Linked DNA regions of Pelodiscus sinensis. The protein of the gene in region 1 purifies or fractionates together with the protein of each later gene. This does not show direct contact. Links are inferred from orthologs where the notes say so. Each region holds a gene or a part of one and is shown on either strand. Other genes may lie near its edges.

The links. The genes of interacting proteins can lie anywhere in the genome.
Region 2: the proteins of PSMA7 (region 1) and PSMG3 purify together in Homo sapiens (affinity purification with mass spectrometry; 3 studies listed by BioGRID and IntAct, with this or other methods). This does not show direct contact. The link is inferred for Pelodiscus sinensis from reciprocal best matches to the Homo sapiens genes PSMA7 and PSMG3.

What each region holds. Positions count from the first base shown.
Region 1 is NC_134728.1:9,376,062-9,383,736, reverse strand, and holds the start of PSMA7 (proteasome subunit alpha type-7), read right to left. Parts: upstream 3,004-7,675; 5' UTR 2,905-3,003; coding exon 2,809-2,904; intron 1-2,808. Other genes in the region: SS18L1 (calcium-responsive transactivator), read left to right, coding at 3,638-3,706.
Region 2 is NC_134726.1:27,444,431-27,451,435, forward strand, and holds the start of PSMG3 (proteasome assembly chaperone 3), read right to left. Parts: upstream 3,020-7,005; 5' UTR 2,888-3,019; intron 2,714-2,887; exon of another isoform or gene 2,599-2,713; intron 2,389-2,598; exon of another isoform or gene 2,255-2,388; intron 1,401-2,254; 5' UTR 1,384-1,400; coding exon 1,168-1,383; intron 1-1,167. UniProt on the Homo sapiens protein: Chaperone protein which promotes assembly of the 20S proteasome. May cooperate with PSMG1-PSMG2 heterodimers to orchestrate the correct assembly of proteasomes.

The sequences.
Region 1 (7,675 bases):
CTTGGTATCATCTGGACATTTCAACTGATCCCTGCAAACCCCCACTTGGTGTGCCCTTCCAACATAACTATTCTGAGAATAGTTATCCAAGCTGTTATGCATCCATCTTACAACGTAGATGAGACTACTGTATTTCCCTAGTTTACTGATAAGACCACCTACATACCAGGAAGTATAAAAACAGGCACATATACCAGCAAGTGCGGGGCTTTATCATAAGTATGCCACAGAATAATTCTCTCTAGGCATATATTAGTGCTTGTAACATAGTTGAACTTTAAACTTAATTCCAAGCTGAATACTTATTATGGTACTAAGTCAAAGCCAAATCAAACTGTTTAATAGTCCATAGTCCTAAGCATAAATGTAGCCCACCCATTCATTGCTTCCTCTGAATATCAACTTTCAGATCATCCTATACACTCCTTCCCTCACCTCGCCTTTCCTGAAGTTAAGAAAACAGCTTTAAAAAAAATCATAGTCCCACTGCTTTTCATATATAGGACTGGAAAATGTGGTTCTTCCTTGGCAGTTTGATTTATGATGTTCCAGCAGTTGTTCCAACTTACCATATTAGCCAAGATTACATTAGACACTTCCACATTCTCATTACTTTTTAAAATTCTCCCTTGGGTTTGAAATTTGTTATGGTTATCCCAAAGGCAAATATTTTAGAAAGTGATCAAGATTTTCCAGCTGTTATGTTACTGGGGAGTTAAAAAGAGATGCAGTTTTTCAGCATTGTCATTTGTTAAACAATAACCCACAAAGTTGGAAAAACTACATTAAGTAATTAACTTCAGAGGGGTAGCCGAGTTAGTCTGTAACAGGAAAAACTTAAAAAAAAACAACAAATAGTCTGGTAGTACTTTAAAGACTAACAAAACATGTAGATGATATCATGAGCTTGTGTGGGCACAGCCATCTGAAGAAGTGGTCTGTGCCCACAAAAGCTCATTTTATTAGTCTTTAAAGAGCTACCAGACTATATGTTGTTTTTAAAGTTTTTATTAAGTAAGTAAACACTCACTTCTGTACACTCAGAGGGGACATTTTACACTTAAGTCACTACTGCCCTGCATTTTGTGAAGTGAAATAGCTCCACAAGTTTCAGGTCTCTGGTGAATCAGGTCATCAATTTTTTTCTACTTCTGTCACCCTGAAAAATTTTAAACACACCTCCTTCCCCAGATGTAATCTCCTCCCCCCCCCCCCCATTTAGTTTTGCAGAAAATTGTGTGTAGCCAAAAAGACAATGCAGGAACTGTTAGAACTCATTTCTCCACATCCCATTTGCCTCAATGACTTTTAATTATCTACAAGTTTATAGCCATATTACTGCCAACTACAACTATTCAAGAAGAGCCCTAGTGTATTTAAAATAGGTTTGGCATCAAATAATTTTTTAAATGCAGATTATCTACTTTTCCAAAAAAGCCCAAATTTTTAATGCACCTGTAAAATGCCAAACATATATTACTGTATAGGTTACTATTATGCACCGAGGCAAAATCAAACACATTTGGGACTCATTTTAGAAGAAATTTTAGAAATATCTCTTTTCTATAATTTCCAGTTTGTAAACAGATATCACCACAAATTTGGATTCTCCCGATTTTACAATGACTGTCTATGCTACTTGAAAGTAGGTATTATCTCCATCTTAGAAATAAGGAAATGGAGTCAGGGATATAAAGTTGTATGCTGCAAGCCCCATGGCAAGTGAGCAGCACAGAAACAATTAATGAGACCATGCTCTAAAGTGTCCCTACCCTTTGTTTGCAGGAAACTGGGAATGGGTGCCAAAATATGGATCACATGAGGATTATCTGTTCATTCACTCTGAAGCATCTCATTGGCCACAGTCAGAAGACAAGACACTAGCCTACATGGACCATTGCTCTGACCTAGAATGGCTATTACATTTTACATTTTTGGTCTTAGAGGTAGGGAGCTATCTTCTAATACCATAGAGGTGTAGCTGTGTTAATCTGTAACTTTAAAAACGAATAGCCCCCCACTATAGAAAGGATGTGGGCACATTGGAGAGGGTCCAGGGGAGGCCAATCAACATGATTTGGGGGCTGGACCACATCACCTACGAGGAGAGGCTGAGGGATTTGGGTTTGTGTAGCCTGCAGAAGAGACGATTGAGGGGGAATTTGATAGCAGCCTTCACCTTTCTGACAGGAGGTTCCAAAGAGAATGAAGAGAGGCTGTTCTCAATAGTGAGAACAAGGAGCAATGGTCTCAAGTTACAGTAGAGGAGGTCTAGGCTGGATATTAGGAAAAAACTATTTCACTAGAGGATGGTGAAGCACTGGAAAGGGTTGCCTATGGAAGTGGTGGAAGTGGTGGAATCTCCGTCCTTAGAGGTCTCTTCCATCCCTAGGATTCTAGTTCTGTGTCACCTCAGAGACTAATCAAAATATACAGAGTCGTGAGCTTTTATGGGCAAAACCCACTTCATCACATGATCAGTTAAGCTGTGGGGTCTTCCCAAGACAAGGGGGTCGGTTCTGGCTCACTGCCAGGGGTGCTCCCTCCTCAGGTACCCCCCCCCCCCCAGCAACTCTCCACAGGCCCCTCCTCTGCTGTCCCCAGCCTCTCCCACTTCCCCAGGCACGCGCCCACCTGTCCACAGGCCCCTTCCCCCACCCGTCCACAGGCCTCCTGCCCCAGCCCTTCCCCACCTGCCCCGGCCCCTTCTCCCCAGCTCCCTCTCCGGCCCCTCCCCCCACCGCCCTCGCCTCAGGAGCGGCGGCCATTCCCTGCGGCGCGCGCGGCCCGCGCCCGGCGCTCACTCACCGCGGTGGAGCCCTTCTTCACCGCCTCCTGCGCGTACTCCACCTGGAAGAGGTGGCCGTCGGGCGAGAAGACGGTGATGGCCCGGTCGTAGCTCATGGCTCCGCCGCTCTGCCGGGGCCCAGCGACCTGCACGCACCGGAACCCGCCGCCTCCCTCAGAACTGCACACTCATCCCCCGCCCTGCGCCGCTTCCGGAGCCTTGCCATTCACAGCGCACGCCGAAGGCAGCCCTTACGCCAAATGTGTAGGTGGGTCTTCATCCTGACGTACGCATTGGGCCAGAGAATCGCAGGCCACCCGGAACGCCAGGCAGCTTATCTACGCCTTTGGCGTACCAAGCTGTTGCCTGCCTTCCGTACGCATTTAGCGTAGGCACGGTAGCGTATCACGGTGTCTGTTTCCACACGCGCTTGGCGTAGCTCTCTTCTTTGCCTACGCCTTTGACGCACTGGGCCGCTCTTGGCAAAGGCAGAAAGATGCTGTTCGCCTGCGACAGGAAACCCAGCAGCAGGGATGCACCATGTGCAGATCAAAGGGGAGGTGGGGAAGGAGGGGAGGACCACTCCGTTGGCTTTATCCCTCCTCCCCAAATCTCAGCAGCTGGCTCCCCACCTTGCATTGGGATCAGAGGCATCAGGGCGAGGGTGGTGCATGCAGGCTCTTGGTGCAGTGCCCCTGGCTCGTTGCAGGGCACAGATTGTACCATCTGCGCCGGCTCCCCTCCCCATGCACTGCGGAGAATCTTTGCACAGCAATAGCAGCCAGATAATAACAATATTATTAGAGCCTAGGAGCAATATATTATAGACACATTTAAAAAAAACCCACCATGTCGGTTGCCTTTGCTTCTGCTCGCCCGAGAGGCAAAGGGGAGGTCACCCAGCAAACTATCCAGAAGGTAAAAAGCATGCTTTTATACCGACAAGAAATGTTATTTGTATATTCCTTCTATGGTGCTGTGGCTGGGAAGATGGCTTAATTCTAAAGTAATCATGAAAACTAGTGAATTTACAAGGGTTGGGAAGATGGACAGCTGGAGGGAGGAGGAGGAGGAGGTGGAACAAAGCAAAGGTGTTCAGAACACTGCAAAGAGAGGGAGAGGGAGAAGGAAAGCTCCAGAGAAGGATCCGCAGAATAGAAAATTCACTGCTCACTGTCTTACGTGTTTGTAAAGAACAAAATGCCAGGGATACATTTCAAAATTGTAAGCTGGGATCTGCACATTTTGGACAGCATATCAGCCCTTAACAAATGGTTGCAGGATTTTAATCTTTTAAAATATGGAAAGAGATGCTGAAGTGTGGCAATAAAGGTGCTCATAGCTATCTCCAAAGGTGTTTTTTTTTTAAAAAAAGGAATTGTAGTTGTTCGTGTATAATGTTTAACAGGCAAATGTTTTACATTGAAAGGATTTTCTCTGAAGACTCAGCTGGCCTGGGTTTTGTCTGAAGGCCAAAGCTGAGTTTGGAAGTTATGATGGGTATTTGTAAGAAAATAAGAGAAGGGTGGGGAGATACATACTTGCCCTCACTCCCCTACTATCCTCCTGGAGTGAGATACCTGTAGATAACTGTAAATAATGGAAGAGGTGTGGAGATGTCAATAAGCAACGCATCTATGCCCTTGATCTGTTTTACTTAGTACCTGTAATTTCTAGTTCCGCTGCATATTTTATGTCATGTTTGCTCTGCCTTAGAAATTCTCGCTATCCAGGAGTTTGTCTAGTCAGTGCAGTGGAACTAAGGAATAAAGGTCTAATATGGCCCGTTTGTAAATTATAATGGAGAACACAAATAGCAGGGATGGGGAACCTCAGGCCCAGGGTCTGGATGCCGGCCCCTGGCTTGCCTAGATCCGGCCCCTGACACTGAGGGTTCCCCTCCTAGCACTGGGGAGCCTGTGCCTACTGAAGGACTGAAGCACACCAAATCTACTACCTGGGCTCCACTAGGCTCTGGTATGTGAAGGGAATGTGAGGAGTGTCTTTGTCCTTCTCAGTCAGGGGCCATGTCAGTGAGGGTTTGGGGGTTTTTTGGGTTTCCCACTTGTGTGCGGCCCCGACTGATCTTCCTGTGGGTCAGCAGCCCCCAACCCAAAAAACGTTCCCCACCCTGACATACATGCACAAAAGGTGTCAGTGGTAAGAGAGTAATCAGTTGCTCATCAGCATTTCTTCCAGAGTGAAGCCATTATCTATTACCAGTTTTATGAATTATATGGGAATTTATCTAAAGGGAGGATATGATCAAACTAAAGAAGAATTAAGGCATGACAAACAACCTTCAAGAGAGTTAAGAGCCTGATGTACATCTGTAAATACTAGAAAAGTCAATCTGCAATTCATCCTCTTGTGTCTTGGTCTTGCAGCACATGTGGTATTGTGGTCATACCCATTTACTTTTAAATGCTGAAATATTTAGGCACCCGTAGTTAAGGATGGAATTATATCCTTAACTTTGGATGTTTGTGTATTTCATATAGACTTTCAAAATTCATTTCATGTAGTCTTTTAAAATCACTTTTGATTAATTTCCATTAAAAAGAACAGTAAAATAATGTTCTTAATTCTCTCAATTTTCAAGACACTGAACTGAAAAGAACTGAAATCTTGAACTGAAAAGAACTGAAATCTGTTTCTGTGCAAATATAAAAATATTTCCTCTATTAGGTACATTTGGTGACTTGTTATTTTAGGATTTCTTATGAATGCTGAGCTGTTGAAGTGTTCATGAACATAAATGGAAATTTTTGTCTGCAAACAAGTACATAACTCAGTGAGCTTTGTAATCATAGATCAGAAGTTGGGCTCAAAACTAATTGTGGGACACTTACTTTGGAAATCCACAACTGTGTTCTCTTTAGGAGCCAAAACTGTATATCAGTTAATTAAAAAAAATTCACAAAAATGCATAATTTTTACTTGTATATTTAAATACACACACAACTAATTTTCATTACAGGCAGTCCCCGTACGCGGATCCGACTTATGTCAGATCTGCAGTTACGAACGGGGTTTGCTCCGCGTCTCCCTGGTGTGCTGGAGACCAGCAGACCAGGGAGACGGGGAGCAAAGCCTCTGAGGACGCCGGCAGCGGGACAGCCGCGGCGCGTCTGGGCTGTCCGCTGCCCGCGTGCTCCCCGGCTTTGCTCCCCGGCTTTGCTCCCCGTCTCCCTGGTCTGCTGGTCTCCAGCAGACCAGGGAGACGCGGAGCAAAGCCGCAGAGGACCCGGGTGGCGGGACCGCGGTGCGTCTCAGTCCGCCGCCCGCATCTCCCTGGTCTGCTGGGGGGGGGGGGGAGGGGGCGCAGCTAGTACGCCCCCCCCCTCCCAGCAGACCAGGCTTTTCTCCGGACGCCTGTGGTAGAGCAGCTGGGGCGCTGCCGGTTGGTACCGCAGCGCCGCTCTGGGTGCTACTGGACCAACCCAGCAGCACCCCCACTGCTCTGCCCCAGGCGTCCTGATTCAGCCGCTGCTGGTCAGTTTCAGCAGCGGCTGAATCAGGACGCCTGGGGCAGAGCAGCAGGGGTGCTGCTGGGTTGGTCCAGTAGCGCCGAGGAGCGGCACTACTGGAGCAACCCAGCAGCACCGCAGCTGCTCTGCCCCAGGCGTCCCCAAGTCAGACGCTGCTGAAACTGACCAGCGCTGACTACAGGAAGCCCGAGGCAGTGTTGCTCTGCCCCGGGCTTCCTGGAATCAGCCGCTGATCAGTTTCAGCAGCAGCTGACTTGGGGACGCCTGGGTTTCTTAAGTTGAATCTGTATGGAACTGGCATCCAGATTCAGCCTGTTGAAACTGATCAGAGGCTGATTCCAGGAAGCCCGGGGCAGAGCAACTCTGCTTCGGGCTTCCTGTAGTCAGCCGCTGGTCAGTTTCAGCAGCGGCTGAATCTGGACGCCAGTTCCGACTTACATACAGATTCAACTTAAGAACAAACCTACAGTCCCTATCTTGTACGTAACCCGGGGACTACCTGTATACATGTTACTAACTCAATTTCAACGGTTTCCTCAAAGCCTTTACTATTCCAATACTACATTATTTACACACAACTTCCCTTGAAGAAAGTGTGAGATTTTGAACCTCTAGGATTGCAGAATTGGCAATTGTGTACTTATCATTAGCTCATGTGCAGGACATGGCATTGGTGTTGACCTTATATGTACTCCCGTGCCAGTGACTAGAACCTTGTCCTTTTTTAACATAGTATCAGGATACCAGAACTATTCCCTGTTCTTTTTGCAATGAACAAAATCCAAAGAGCCCTTCTATTAGTGCAGCAACCTTTTGCATTGACATCAAAGTGCCAGTACTGGTTATGAACACACATCCAAAAGTGAGACTTGATCTCTAAGCCTGCTTTCTTAGATCAGCTGAGACATTTATTAGTGATACTTTAAAAAATTTTCTAGAAGTTTATAAAATAATGAATGCTTTTCAACAAGTTACCATTTCCATTCTGTTCTGCAGAGCTCTGTTCTCTGTTTTCTACCAATTCTGCCCTGGGAATTTCTGTTGGTATCATAAATGCACAATATGAAACTAAGAGCTTCACGGTGAATCTGACAGGAGTATTTTGTTCTTAAAGATTAAGAACATAAGAATGGCCGTATTGGGTCAGACCAAAGGTCCATCTAGCCCCGTAGCCTGTCTGCTGACAGTGGCCAGCACCAGGTGCCCTGCAGGGGGTGGACCGAAGACAATAATCAAGCGATTTGTCTCCTGTCATCCTTCTCCTGCCTCTGACAAACAGAGGCCAGGGATACCATTTCTATCCCCTGGCTAATAGCCTTTTGTGGACCTAACCTCCATGAAATTATCTAGCTTCTCTTTAAACTCTGTTATAATCCTAGCCTTCATAGCCTCCTCT
Region 2 (7,005 bases), on another chromosome or scaffold:
ACAGGGTGATTTTATAGACTAATGTAATTTTTTTAAAAAGTGAAGCATTAGCAGGAAAGAAGGGATATAACCCCTTTTAATTAGGGCTTCTCTAAAAATATGCCTTTTGGCACATCCATCTTGCCACATATATTGATCTAAAGTTTATTTTTGTTTGAGTTTGTTTCAGAACTGATTTGCGGTTTTTGGCAGCATGCATCACCAAAAAAGGCTGGGCTGGAAGTATTTCCTCAAGGTTGTTTACATTAATTAACATATAATACAAAGAAGCAGACAATGGACACCTACGCAAGATCTGGGGAAATAATTTCTCCCATATGTAAACAGGAAGTGCCACTGATTAACATAAGTATCAGAAACTGAATATGCTTTTCTGTTCCATGTTGACAAGCGCACATCACACCAACGCTGTAACCATCCTGTCTACAGGCAGACACATCCCACATGAAGGAAAGAGAGCTTATTATTGAAGGGTGAGGGCTACACAAAGACCAGCTGCTAAGAGGATGAGCAACCTGTCACATTGCTGAGTTTGGTTTTTTTTCTGTTTGGGATTAGCAAGCAACACTAGATAGTTCTACTACAGCACTGTAAAACTAGGTAAACTTGCAGTATACTGTAACTTTGTATTTAGTGCCTATCTGATCCAAAATTTATTATTGTTTTCTCTTGTTTCTGAAAAATAGTAATTGAGAACTCATTTTAAATTAAAATGAATTGGATAACTGTCTTATCTAAGGAAACTGGTGGTAAGCACAGTTGAGGGAAGGGGTACCAAAGTTGATTTTGGAAGAGGTAAAAGTGGGGAGAAAAAGTGCTCGGATGGGGGAAAAATACTGTGACAAGCACTGGAGAAAGGATAGTGAAGGCCATTATGTTTGTTCCAGCACCACTGAAGTCAATGGGAATGGCAAAGCTCCATAAAAATAACCGAGTATGAAGTGACAGAACCCTTATACGCTTTCAGTGTAGATTTAATTAGACATTTGTTATGTTAAACATACCTTTAACATGAATACCCAAAATGTACTGATGAACTACACCCCTCTTAGTACAGGATTTTTTAATCTTACCACTGCACAACTGCACATCAGCTGCTTGGCAGCCCAAGCAGGCTCAAATTCTGAGCCAGTGAGAGATTCCCCCTCAATATTCAGGGCCACATACCTCATCCGTGCCCAGCAGCACTTTCGTGGTGAGTGACGGTTTGCTGATATCACTGGCTACTGTGCTGGGGTCCACAGAGACAAGCGTCCCCATCTTCCCATACTGCGTCACCACCACAAGAATGGAGTTGGAGAAGGCCGTGCATACCACCTCTGTTAGGATACCCCTCACCACCTCCTCCTTCTGCTTTGAAGTCACAATAGATTTTGCTGCCATGGCAGACGTCTTAAATGCTGAGTAAAATAATATACTAGTATTAGATATAAAACATTAACTAAGAGTCATAAAAAGGCTCAATATTTTAATTAAATTTAAAATATCAGTGTTGTTTTAATGGCATAAATATGCCCATAGATGTAAGCAACTGGTGCAGCTGTATATAAATAATCATGAACATGTGATGTCTGAGTGTATCTGACTCAGAAGTGAATTGACATTACCCTCTTTAGTAACTTAGGCTACACACACATGTTGCTATTTACAGGCTTTTATGCCATTCATAGTTTCACACTGCTTGAAACTGTTATTGTGTCACATGCAACAGATTATACAGTCCTACCAGTCCTGCATCCTGACGCCCAAAGGCCAGGTCTCCTGGATCCCACTAGAGCGGTGTTTCCCAATGTTATTTGGCCACGGAACCCTTTTAAACTCGAAAGAATTTTGCAGAACCCCTTACGTGATATATAACAGGCAACTGCACCACTGACTGTCTGGCACACAGTGCTGAGTAGTTATTGTAATGGAATTTTCTCGCGGAACCCATATTTTCACTTCCGCGGAACACCATTTGGGAAACACTGCACTAGAGCATGGTTTTGCTCCAGAGGACCCAAATCCAGAACCATTTTGCCCAACTTCCCAGCCCAAATGTCGAGGATTGGGATAAAACGGGGCTAGTAGAACCATCTGTCTTGTACTTAAGGGCACCCCTGAGTTGGCATCTGGCATTCCCAAGTCAGCGATTCCCATTTTGTAACCCAATATTTGTATCTTCCCCTACAAACTAAATCCAGGGGGAGGACTTTGGTGGATCACTTAGCGCCCCTCACACTCATTGCACGCCCCCAGTTGGCCACGGCCTTACCGTCAGGGGAGCAAACAAGATCCCAACTTCAGATTAGGCCCGGCTTTCGGTTGCCAACTTTCCCGACCGAACGGACCGGACGCCATTGCTGCAAAAGGTGCCCGGTCGGCAAAGTTGGCAGCCCTCGGATCCCCCCCCCCCCCCCATAAACCCACGCAGCAGGGCACGGGCAGGCTCAGAGTCACGCCACGAGCCCACCCCGCTGCAGCCCCCCGCCCGCAGGGGCTCGCCGGCAGCGGGAGCCGGGCCCAGGAAGCCGGGCGCTATAGCGCGGCCGGCAGGTAGGCGAGACCAGCCCGGGAGAAGGGGGCGAGCGAGAGCAGGGCCTGTCCGCCCGGCCTCACCCGGCAATGCCGCCGCGTCCTCCGCGCTCCTGCCCGCCGCGTCCGCTCTGCGCCGCCGCCGAGTCACTGAGCCCGCCCCGCATGGGCGTCCCCGCCCCCCGCGCTCCCTCCGGGCCCAGGGGAAACCCGGCGCCCCCGCCTCCGTCCCTGCACCCCTCAGGCTCCACTGAGCCGGGAGCCTCCTCTGCACCCTCAGAGCGGGGAGTTCTCCCTGCACGTCCGCGGGCCCCACGGGGAAGCCCGCCCCCCCTTCTGTTCCCACCGTATCCCCACAACCTCCTGGCCTCACCTAGTAGAGATGCCCCCTTTTCCCAAGCCTCTCCAGGCAAGGCGCCCCCCCGCTGGCGTTACCACGCTGGGTGTCCACCCCTGCACGGCTCTAGCCCCACCAAGCGGGGAACTCCTCCTGCATCTGGGCCCTTCTGAGCAGGGAGCTCCCAGTATCCTGTCCAGTCCCTCCTGCATCCTGGCCACAATGAGCATGGGATGCCCCCCCTCCAGGCCTGGCCCTACCCTGTGGGGATCCTAGCCCTGCACCCTGTTCCTTCCGGTATCATTCCTCTCTGGCCCCACAGAGTGGGGAAGATCTCCATGCACCCAGCTCACCCTGTCTCCCACATTTATCTCTCCCAACCTTGCAGAGAAGGAAATTCCCCTCCACACCCTACTTCCCACACGCCTGCTATCCCCATAGAATGGGAGACCCCTGCACTCCGCATACCCTCCAGGTTCCCTCAGAATCACACACTGGGGAAGTTCCCCCTATATCCAGCTTACCCCATTCTCCCTGGCCTCACTGAGTGGGAAATGCCCCTTTCAAACTCAACACACTTCATACCACTACAACCCTCCACACACTAGGGATATAAAAACATAGTAACCATGTAACCAATCAAAATTCTATTGATTGTACAGTTAAACATTTTACCTGGGGATGTAGGGAAGGAAGGGTGCTGGAAGGCTCCTGGCTGCTGGCTCCACAGGCTTCTGACTCCATAGTCTTCGGCGACTGGCCCCATGGGCTCCCTGCCCCACTGGTCTTGAGGACTTCCAGCCCCATGGATTCACCTTTGCTGGCCCTCAGCACTACTGGCTGCCAGCCTCATGGGCTGTCAGCCCTATGCTCCCTAGCAGAGTTTAACTGTTAACAGGAACAGATAAGCATCACCTTATTGGTTAACCAGTTAAACTCTTAGGGTATGTCTACACTACCCCACTAATTCGAACTAGCGGGGTAATGTAGTCATACCGCAATTGCAAATGAAGCCCGGGATTTGAAATTCCCGGGCTTCATTTGCAATTGTGGTATGCCTACAGTACCCCGCTAGTTCGAATTAGCGGGGTAGTGTAAACATACCCTCACATCCCTACCACACATACACTGAACTAGGTCAGCCCCTTTCCAGTCAGCTCCTTCCTTGCTCCCCCAAAACCAACACAGCATGGTAGACCTCTCCGTATTCAGCAAATGGGAGGAACCCTCGCAAACCTGACAGACCCATCTCTGGCTCTTGCCCAATCCGTATGAGAGAGGGTGGTGAGAAGGAAGAGGTCTCTATTAAGTCAACAGACTCAATCCCTCTGCAAAATAGGCATAGCGCCTTTTCAGTTTTTAGTATTGAAAGCATTCCCTCTAAGGCTTTGTCTACACTGGCGACTTCTTGCGCAAGAAGCCGCGAGTGTAGACATAGCCTAGAAGTGTGATAGGAACTGTCAGAGCCTGCTTTCTAGCCTGGCAAACTGGCATAGTTGCCCTGACCCAACTCTTGAAATGCTGATGTTCCTAGTCATTTAAACATCTCTAAAGTATTGGCTGTATAAACTCCAAGGGCATTCTGAAATGGCCTTGACTTCCTTTTGTGCCATCTTCTGCATGATTTAAATTCTTTAATTGTTCTCTTGTGTTTTTTCCATCTATTCACCAGCTAGAGCAAAGTTCATGCTGCAGAAGACTCATCCTCTGTCTCCAAAGAATCACAGCTTCCCATCTGTGACCAGAATGTGAAGGTCTTTGTGGAGAGATGGAGGTTGGGATAAGGTGAATCTTAGCCTCAAAGCAGAGCAGAGCAATTTGGCAATGGCTGGATTTCCTGTTTCCACATAGGGTTCTGAGCATCCCAGGCTTTTCTCTCAAATTTTAAAGGCACCTAAAATTTTAAAGGTATGATTAAAATTGGCAAACAAGAGAGAACTCAAAACCTGGCTTGTCACATTTGAGTGGAAGGGAATTTTGGTTGTAAGATGCATGCTCCATAGTGTTTTCATCCTTGACTGTTTCCTGTAGACTTGAATGAGTCATTGAGATCATGCTGGATGGTGGGGACTTTCTTTTGGCCATTAAACTCTTCGGGAATATTTTGATATATATGATGCTGGGCAGAGTGAAGGATCAGGCTGCAAATTGGATAAATCTTGCCTTTTCGTTTGTTATGGTGGACAGCATGGCTAATATTATTGTAATTTATTTGTAATATCATAGTACTTAAGGGTCAGTGTATGAACCTATAATGCAAACAGTTACATCCTTTTCAGTAGTCCCACATTTTTCTTCATGTGCCCTAATTCATGTTTCAATCAAAACTGTAAAGTAGCTTGTACAGAGTGGCAGAATATCCTAAAGGATACAAGATCACAAAGAAAAAACAGTTTCTTGCTATTTTAACCAGAAAGGACACTCTCTCAATGACTTAACCACCTGCATTCTGCTACAAAGACCTTTTACATCTGCACTTGAAAGGGAATCCTCTGAACTGTCATTCATGTTAAAATTCGACACTCTCCGAGAAGGAATGAACAAACACTCAAACTACCTTACCCATTACCAAGATAGCTTCCCCAATTATCACCTCTAATACCATTAGCTCACAAACATCCCCTCTCCCCACTTCTAATATCATCAATTCACAGACACTTACCTTCCTTCCTCCCCCCCCCCCCCCGCATCCCCCTCCTGTTCTGAAATGTGATTTGTCCTTTTCATGTGTGTTCATTTTTTTAATTGTATCCTTTGGTATATATGGTTGTGACTATTTTCTTCCACTATTTGATCTGAGGAAGTGGGTCTGGCCCATGAAAGCTCATCATCTAATAAACCATCTTGTTAGTCTTTAAAGTGCTACATTGTCCTGCATTTTGCTAAAGGATACAGCACTGGACTGGGTCTTTTTTTAGGCCTGATAGATGACCTTGGGCAACTTACTTCAACACTTTGTACCTTGGTTTCTTCATCTGCAAAATGGGGATATACGATTTAATTTTTGTAAAGGGCTTTGAGATCTACTGATGAAAAGCACTATGTAAGAATGGGAGTGTTTTTATTGATTGACAGCTACCACACACAGATTTCATGACAGAAGACAGCCATTCATTCGGGCTACGTCTACACTGGCAGCTTCTTCCGGAAAAACTCTTTTGCGGAAGAGTTCTTGTGCAAAAACTCTTCCAGAAGAGAGCGTCTGCACTGGCATGTGCTTTTGCGCAAGAGATGTGCTTTTGCGCAAGAGCATCCATGCCAGTGTAGACGCTCTCTTCCGCAAGAAAGCTCTGATGTCCATTTTAACCATAGGGGCTTCTTGCACAAGAAATTCATGTTGCCTGTCTACATTGCCCTCTTCTGGACGAGCTCTTGCGCAAGAGGGCTTATTCCTCGTGGGGAGAGGAATAACTCTTCCAGAAGAAGCCCTGTTTTACAACGCTATACTGTAAATTTACTTCTGGAAGAACACTCGTGCAGTGTAGACAGCCATCAAGTTTTTGTGGAAGAATGGCTGTTCATCCGGAAGAAGCTGCCAGTGTAGATGTAGCCTTGATGTTGAGAAAAGAAAAGAAAAGAAAAGAAAAGAAAAGAAAAGAAAAGAAAAGAAAAGAAAAGAAAAGAAAAGAAAAGAAAAGAAAAGAAAAGAAAAGAAAAGAAAAGAAATATTAAAAAGTTAATACATCTGTAATAACCATCTTAAAAACTTTAGTTTGTTTTTGTTTTTCCAAAATTCTTGACCTTTGCTCATCCCAGAGTAATATTTTTGGCCTAGATACATCCCTAAAAATATGATTTCTTAAAGAATATCCAGTGTAATACTAAATTATATAATGCTAAGTGTCTCCCAAACCTTTATTTCAATTTCCCCCTCACATCTTACCCTTCTACCACACAAACCACCCTTGACAACAAAGATTCTGAATTTTGGATCACCTGTCCAAACATTTGTAAAGACTTAGTGTTCTGAATTGTTTTTGCATGAAAAGTTTAACTGACTTTAAATGAAGTTAACTGCTAGTCATAGTGCTGCGAGTGCATTAATAAACCTCCAGAGGGCAACAGAGTTCCATGGAAAATCTCTGAACAAGACAGAACTGGGAGACTTGATACCTTATCATCACCCCTTCTTGTCATCTGGCAAATCCCGTTTT